Linked DNA regions of Oryzias latipes. The protein of the gene in region 1 purifies or fractionates together with the protein of each later gene. This does not show direct contact. Links are inferred from orthologs where the notes say so. Each region holds a gene or a part of one and is shown on either strand. Other genes may lie near its edges.

Region 1 (3,873 bases):
CTGGTGAATCACCCAACAGGAACTGTGAGCTTCAGCAGCCGGCAGCGTTCTGCTCCCGTTCATGTTTCGTTTCAGAAAAATGTCATGAATGCGACGCAACAGCCCAGCAGTGAAGACGGCAGGTCCTCATGTGAATGAATCACAACAGGAAGCAGCTGACGGAGCGTCACAAACGATCTGGAACATTCCTCCTGATAATCTGTGGCGCGTTCACTGCAATCTGTAATTGTCCTGCTGTCGAACAAACACCAGCCCGTCCCGCTAACTCTCCCCTAGAACCCGATCTGCTAATCCAGAGTGAGTGTAAACGCTGAAAGGGAACCGCTTGAGTCCAGAACTTCAGTCTTCAGCTTCTAAACGTCTGGCTTTGATTTGCAATAGAAAAAAAGCAATAAACTGTTTTTGTGAATTTGAAGACGATCTTCTAAGAAAATGTTCTTTAACAGGTTTATTATAAAGTGCCATTACCCAAAATGCACTGTAATATAATGGGATTACTTTTGTGGAGGGGGAGTTTATTTCTTCAATGTGAACTAAATAAATGCGAAAATATTCAGAACCACATTTTTCACAGAAAGTCCATCACATTTAACCCAGAATGAAAAGTTCAAAGTAATAATTTAAAGAGCTTTTATGATGACCCAAAGGAGGTTTCAGCCTGCAGCACGTTGGCATTTTCCCGCTGCTCTTGAACGCAGCACGGTCCTGCTTCAGGTGGGCTTGGGGAGTCTGTACACCCCCGCAGACATCAGAAGCTGCTGCTCCCTGACCTTCTTCTGCAGGAAGGCCTCCAGCTCACTGATGTCCATCTCCGTGACGACGGGCCCCGTGGCCACGAAGATCCGCAGCATGGAGTGGATGCGGTCCAGCGTCATGCTGTCCAGGTTGGTGAGCATGGCCTGGATGTAAGCCCAGAAGAGCTGCAGAGACGACGGGGGTGGGGGGGTCATTTGAAATATTTGACAACATCTAGAAAACACGGAAAAGACGAACGCTCACCTGCAGCTTCTCCTCCCTCTGCTCGGACTGGGTGGTGGTGTTGGAGTCCCTCTCCTCGTCACTGTCGATGAGCATCCCCCCCCTCTCCAGCTTCTCCATGGAGGAGCCCATCTCCACCACATAGTAGCGCCCCCCCGCCTCCTCCCTCAGGACGCCCTGCTGCTGCCACAGGGCCAGCTTCCTGTGGACCAGCTCCTTGGGGGCCCCCAGCTTTCCGCTCAGCTCCTCCAGCGTCCAGGAGCCTGAAACCCAAAGTGGCGTCTGCAGTGACGGAGAACGGAGGAACCTGGAGACGTTCTGGCAGCATCTGATCATTTAAAGGCCCGAGAATCGGAACCGTGGCCGAAACTGAAGCTAAAATCTTCTGTCACCTGAAGATCCTGAACATTGAAGCTGCAGGACAATTAAGGAACTGCAACATTTAATTATCTAAACCAGGGGTGTCAAACTCACTTTGGTTCGGGGGCCACATTCAACCCGTCTGATCTCAAGTGGGCCGGACCAGAAGCGTAAAGGCAAAACAACAGCTTTATTCTATTTTTTTACCCAATTGGAAAACAGGCCTCAACCAACATGGTAGCCTTATTTCTTATTACACATTCATTCACAGAGGCCAATGGATCTTAAATAAAATTAATTTCACTTTAAAATATTGGTTTATTTAATTTTATACAGACTGAATATTTTAAATCTGACACTGAAGCAATCCTGATAAATTCAAGAGGGGCTACAGACAAAAATGAAACATGTTTCTAAAATGTAAATGTCCAAACGATGACAAAATTACACTGAATTAAACTTGCAAACATAAGAGTTTGGAGTTAACCTCCTTTCTCTCCTGAAACTTCACCCGTCCATAGATATCAGGATTCAAATGCTGTGCAGAAACACATTTACTGTCATTCAAGTGTGCAAAACACAATGAAATGTCCATTATTATTCATTATTATAAGAATCTATTCCTGGTTTCTGCCTGAATTTTGTGGCAACACCTGCCTTCTTCCTGACCTTTAATGGGGCGCCATTAGTGACCAAAATTACTTCATGTGACCAGTTCACTTCAACATCGTCCAGCACAGTAACTAGAGAGCTGACTATGTCATCAGCTGTTGTGTCCATCAACTCCAGAAACTCCACTGTGACGTCACTTCATCACCTCTAATAAATATCACAGCTGTACATATCTGTGATGTTGGTGCTTTCATCAATAGTGACTGAAAATACAATAAATGACTGGATTCCTTCATATGGCTGCCCATGTTTTCTCAGAGATGTTGGATCTGATCGTAATTCTTGACAGACTCATGTTTAAGGTCGACTGCTTTTTGGGCCGCAAGACTTCTACTATGCCTTCAGCATTTCTCAATAAGTTCATCATCAGAAAAAGGTTTGGATGTTTGCTCCAACTTGTTTGCAATAAGGTAGCTAGCTTTCCCTGCTCCATCACTGACGTCACGCCTGTAGTAAATCCAGATGGTTATTTATCGGTCCAGCTAATAGTTGCTAAATATTTTTTTTTCTTAACTGCAAATGGTGAAACTTTTCTTTGTGGAGAGTCTCATAGTGGAGCTGAATGTTATATTCTTGGAGAACAGCTGTTAGGTTTCGTTTTTGGCACATGCAGAGTTATGTTGTTTCACCCGTTAAGCTTTTCCTTTGCTCCCCCTAGTGGCGGAATTGCGCATTTCGGTTATTTCTTTAAAAAAATCATAACTTGCCAGAGGAATGGAGTAGAAACTTGCTTTCTTTTTTAAACATCCTTATGATTTTTACTCATTTGTGGGCCGGACCAAACCACCTGGCCGTATGTTTGACACCCCTGATCTAAACCGAATAAAAAAAAATGTGTCATTACAGACCAAATAAATGATCAGTTTCTGGAGCAACTGAAGCAAAACATAAATTTGAAGCTGCGTAATCCAAAGGAAACGAGGGCAGAAACCAAACATTTTCTGCAAGTTCAGAGAATTCTAGAGCAAAAATTTAAGAGTAAAACATCTGAAGAAAAGCTGCTTCATCTGAAGATGACTCTTTATGTGAGGATGCAGGAGGGGGGTGGGGTGTGCTCATCTCAGCATAAAGCTTAAACTGAGCAGAAAACCTGAAGTGGTGTGGACTGTGGAGGCTGTACACTGAACCAAAGGAACCCACTTTTGTCCTGGAAGTGAAGGATGATGGCGGCCTGGATGGGCGACACGGTGAGGTTGGTCAGGATTCGGTCCTCCAGCTCCACGTCCAGAATGACGGATCCCAGGTGAGGCTTCCAGCTCAGGGTCCTCATGGCCTGAAGAGCAGGAGGAAATGAGGATCCAAACAGAACCCCGTTCAGGACAGACAAACTGGGTTTGAACTTTAAACGCTGCGGTCGCATCAAAGCTGTGGCTTCAAGACGAGCAGAAAATGAACTTTGAGAACAATCAGATTAAATATTAGTTCATAAAGAGGATCCACAGCTGTCTGTCTGTAGAATCCTCCAGAAAAAACAAACAGCTGGACTCCACCTTCAGTTTCTCGTATCTGTGGGTGTAGGCCTCCATGGCCCGGCACACGACGGGGGGCAGCTCCAGCTTCTCCTCCTTCAGCGTCGGCCAGAACTCAGAGGACAGGATGATGGCGGACAGAGGCAGCGGCGGCTGCTCGTCTTCGCTCAGCCGCGACTCCTCCTCCCGGATGTTGCCGTTGATCCTGCGGGAGTCCGCCATGTCCTGCAGAGGAGCGCCGCATCAAACTGCAGCTCCTGGCGGAGGAGAGTCCAGCTGCCGAGTGTGGGGGTTACCTTCAGCATGACCTCGCAGTAGTGCATGTGAGACTCTCCGAAGCGAAGCTTCAGCAGCTCCACGTTCCGGATCTCCCTGGAACAGAGCAGAGTCCAAA
Region 2 (4,132 bases), on another chromosome or scaffold:
GTTCTGAACCGTGACACGTCACTCTTTGAACTTCCACTCCTGGCGACACATGGGACACTGCTGCTGCACCTGCTGGGAGTTCAGCCACTTCAGGATGCAGTGCATGTGGAAGCAGTGGGAGCACTGACCCCACACCAGCGGGCAGTCGTCTCCGGGAACCTTACCTGCAGATGAGGAGAAGCATGGCTTAACTCGAGCTGGGGTGTGCTGATGGACACGAAGTCAAAGTTATATGGGGCATGTTACATCACCAATTTATAAATAAGAATCCGAACTCCTGTAAGTGATGGTGTTGATCTCCACATCATGACCGACTGACTTCATCCTCAACAATAAACGTGTCATGAATCTGTTTATGGGAATCTCTTTTGATAAATGAATGTTTACAGCTGATTTTCTTAAGTCTGCAGATATTTACTGCAGATAAATACAATAAGATAAATATATTTTATCTTATTGTATTTATTTTATATGGACACATTACTGAACATATGTCCAGAGACTAAAAGATGTAATTATGTCCAATTTTAGCCATGATGCTATTTCACATCTGCTGTCCCTAAACAGGATGAAACGAGAACATTTGATTGATTAAATGATTGAATACAATAAAAACAACTACCAACACACATGTATATATCAAACCCATTTCAGATATAGTAATACATTGATTAGAAAATAAAGAATAAAATGAACAGTGATGACAAGACAATGCTGGCTGCTTTAGTCTAATTATTCATAATCAAAGAGACTTTTTCGCAGTAATGCATACAATACACACAAATCACATTTGATTCATTTAGTATAATGATAATTTAAAGTCATGCACAATTTGATTTGCTGCCTAAAGGTGAGCTCATTTATTTTATACAATCCCCCCCCCTAATGAATTGTTTCTTTTTATATATTTCTTTTGCATTGTTGCCATAATCCAGTTCTTATTGATGAGACAATAATTCACAAAAATAGCAAATCACAGTCATCTAGTTAAAATCAGGACTTTAATTACATCCATCCATCCATCTTTGATTGGGATGAAATACATCCCATCTGTAGCGAAGAGGCAATTTAATTAACTAATCAACTTCATTTATTAACCGACCCACCTAGAGGAAAACAGCATTTCTGCAGGTGGTCCTGTTATTTTCCCTTTAATTATGTATCATAACGGCTACATTGCATTGTACTTGTGACAATGGCAAACACAAGACTAAGTAGAATGTTCGCGCATGCGTAGTCACATCTCTGATTCTCAAATATTAGTTAAGTCGTAATATTTAATAAGGAGGGGCAGCTGTTAAACTATAACGAATTCCTATCACAGTATAATTTACCTATTACTTTACAAGAGTTTTCAATGGTGCAGAAGGCTATCCCCTCAGGAATAGTAATGTTATTTAAGAACACTGATAATTTGATACCTAATCAAAATACAATATCCAATGCGGATGAGTCACCGGTAGGAAAAATATGCTTCTCATATGGGCGTACTACTAATATAAAAATACGCAGATTATTTCAAAAGATTTATACCGCTCCCCCGTATATTTTAAATTATTGGAATCAATTTGTTCCAGATATCAACTGGAAAGCAGTCTGGACGATCCCTCATAAGTATTTAATAATAAATAAGGTAAAAGAAGTATCCTTTAAAATTCTCCATAAAATTTACCCTGCCAAACATTATATGATAAAATTTAAAAAAGATATTAATACTGATTGTAGTTTCTGTGGAGATCACCCAGAAACAGTAATTCATCTTTTCTGGCACTGTTTGTCCACACGGAGATTTTGGAAGGAGTTCAGTAGATTCATCATTATTCATGTCTTCAAAGATTTCTCCTTGAAATGGGAAAATGTATTACTTTGTTTTTTCAGGACCCCCAAAAAACAAAAGATATTTTTTATAATTAATTTATTAATTCTTCTGGCAAAATTCTACATACATAAATGTAAATTTACTAATAAAACACCATACTTCCCACAATTCATTAAAGATGTAACTTTTTACATAAAATCAATATCCTTTTCCTCCAACAAAAAAGCTCTCAGAACTATTGAAATTTGTAACTCTCTGCAAATATTTAATGAATCGACTCCCCTGGCTGTTTAACATTGTTTGTGTTGTATATTGATTGTATGTTGTATACTGCATTGATTGTTCTTTATGTTGTATACTTGCATTTGTTCAATAAAGTTATATAAAAAAAATTGTTAAGTCGTAAGTAGTTTGTTAGGTAATACAGACAGAGTAAATGTGAAATTACAAGGTTTTCTATCAAATACGGTTTTAAACGCCATTACGGCTCAATTGCCTTTATGCTACGAGGAAACATAAACATCACAAAGATTTCTTTAAACCGATGGTGGGATTTCTACTTCTTTCTTCACAGGAATTAAACATCTGCACGCGGGCGCGTTAACTCACAGTCTGGACAGCAGCCGTTGAAGGGCATCCTGCAGATGCCGCAGTTTTCATCGTTGGCCACCCACAACCAGGACGCAACTCCGTTCCACTGCTTGATCTTCACCTTCATCCTCAGCGAGAGACGGATCAGGGAAACCCACGGAGCTCAGCGGCAAACGGGACACGCAAGCTAGGCTAGCCTATGTCGACCCGGCGGAGCCTGAAGCGACCTGCTCTGTTTAACACTGCTCGCTTAACGAAGGAACAACAGTTGGGGTGTAATTTAAGTGTTTGACAATATTTTAAAAGGTACTGTTCGTTAGAACTAAGCCATGTAAAACAGTGTAAAACAACGCAAAAATATGCTGCCGTTCTTTCAAACAGCGGTGCAACTTTCTTCTTCCGGTGTCATCACATTTGGTTTATAACTGCGTTGGATTTTAAATGTCGCCCTCTATCGGTGACAAATGGTAAGAAACTGATCACTTCTTCTAATTCTTGCAAAAATAAAATAAAATAGGATAAACAATGGGGGGAAAAACGAATCTATTTAAAATTTAGATAATTTAAATGAGAATTTAAATGCATTAAAAACGTGGACCCTATTTGAAAATACAATATGAATAATTGGTGATGCCCTTTGTGCTCCCCTCCTTTTTAGTTTGTGTTTTAAATGGTAATGCTTTGTAATTTAGTTTTTCCTATTATTTATTTATTTTTTATTATTATTTTTTGCTGTGTTCCTTTGAGCCATTTGTTTAAATGTGTCTGATTCTCTTTTGTTAATAAACGCTAAATAACTTTAACTTTTAAGGGAAAAGCGATTTGTAGTAACTATAAGATAGAAAAGACACATAAGATCTAACAACACAGCTTCACAACCCAGACACAGTCACATAAAATAACTATGATGGCTTCAATTCAATTCTGACGAGACTGACAGTGAAACATCAAGGTGGCAAATAAACGTTTAAACAGATACGCACACTCCTTGCTTTTAAACAACAAATATTTTGAAAAAATTGAAATTAAGAAATCAAAATGTATACATGTGCAGAATCACTGGTGTTTCTGAAGTCTTTCCCAGCTTCTTCAGAACAAAGGCAAAGATTATAGTCTGCCAGTTAAATTCAGAGTCACCAATTAGTCCATGAGGCTTGTTTATGGACTATTTGAGGAAGCCAGAGTTCATTAAAAACCCACAAAACACCAGGAGAATTTGCAATTTAGGAAAGAACCAGAACTTTTTGGCCGTGTTGACAATTATTATTTTAATAATAATAAATATAATAAGAATTATTATTCTTATTATTATTACATTTATTACGGAATCAAGTTCCAAATGTCAACACCATAAAAACCAGAAGACTTGCATTGAGTATCATTTAAAAGCAAAAACAGCTCATTCTTCAAAATGTGAGGGCTTAGACATGAATTAGACATGGTACAAATAGAACCCCCCCCCCCCCCCCAAATGTAATTTGTGACAATAATAAAAATAATAAATTTAAATATTTGGAATTATTTAAATTTTCGAGGTTTTGTTATTCTATAATTATTTTATTTGATTTTTTTTCTATAATTATTTTAAGGAGTCATTTATATGTAATATAAATAACCATTGACCATCCCTGGATTTCAGTCTTACACACCTTGTGGAATAAGGATTTGCAAAACAAACAAACAAAACCTAAACATATGTAGAAAACTATTAGATTGAAGTCT

What was found. Proteins that work in one complex are often made in the same cells at the same time.
Region 2: the proteins of anapc2 (region 1) and anapc11 purify together in Homo sapiens (affinity purification with western blotting; 7 studies listed by BioGRID and IntAct, with this or other methods). This does not show direct contact. The link is inferred for Oryzias latipes from reciprocal best matches to the Homo sapiens genes ANAPC2 and ANAPC11.

The regions. Positions count from the first base shown.
Region 1 is NC_019866.2:2,378,330-2,382,202, forward strand, and holds the end of anapc2 (anaphase-promoting complex subunit 2), read right to left. Parts: intron 3,852-3,873; coding exon 3,776-3,851; intron 3,705-3,775; coding exon 3,501-3,704; intron 3,284-3,500; coding exon 3,151-3,283; intron 1,242-3,150; coding exon 1,000-1,241; intron 921-999; coding exon 711-920; 3' UTR 503-710; downstream 1-502. UniProt on the Homo sapiens protein: Together with the RING-H2 protein ANAPC11, constitutes the catalytic component of the anaphase promoting complex/cyclosome (APC/C), a cell cycle-regulated E3 ubiquitin ligase that controls progression through mitosis and the G1 phase of the cell cycle.
Region 2 is NC_019859.2:4,486,078-4,490,209, reverse strand, and holds the start of anapc11 (anaphase-promoting complex subunit 11), read right to left. Parts: upstream 2,803-4,132; 5' UTR 2,538-2,802; coding exon 2,429-2,537; intron 165-2,428; coding exon 19-164; 3' UTR 1-18. UniProt on the Homo sapiens protein: Together with the cullin protein ANAPC2, constitutes the catalytic component of the anaphase promoting complex/cyclosome (APC/C), a cell cycle-regulated E3 ubiquitin ligase that controls progression through mitosis and the G1 phase of the cell cycle.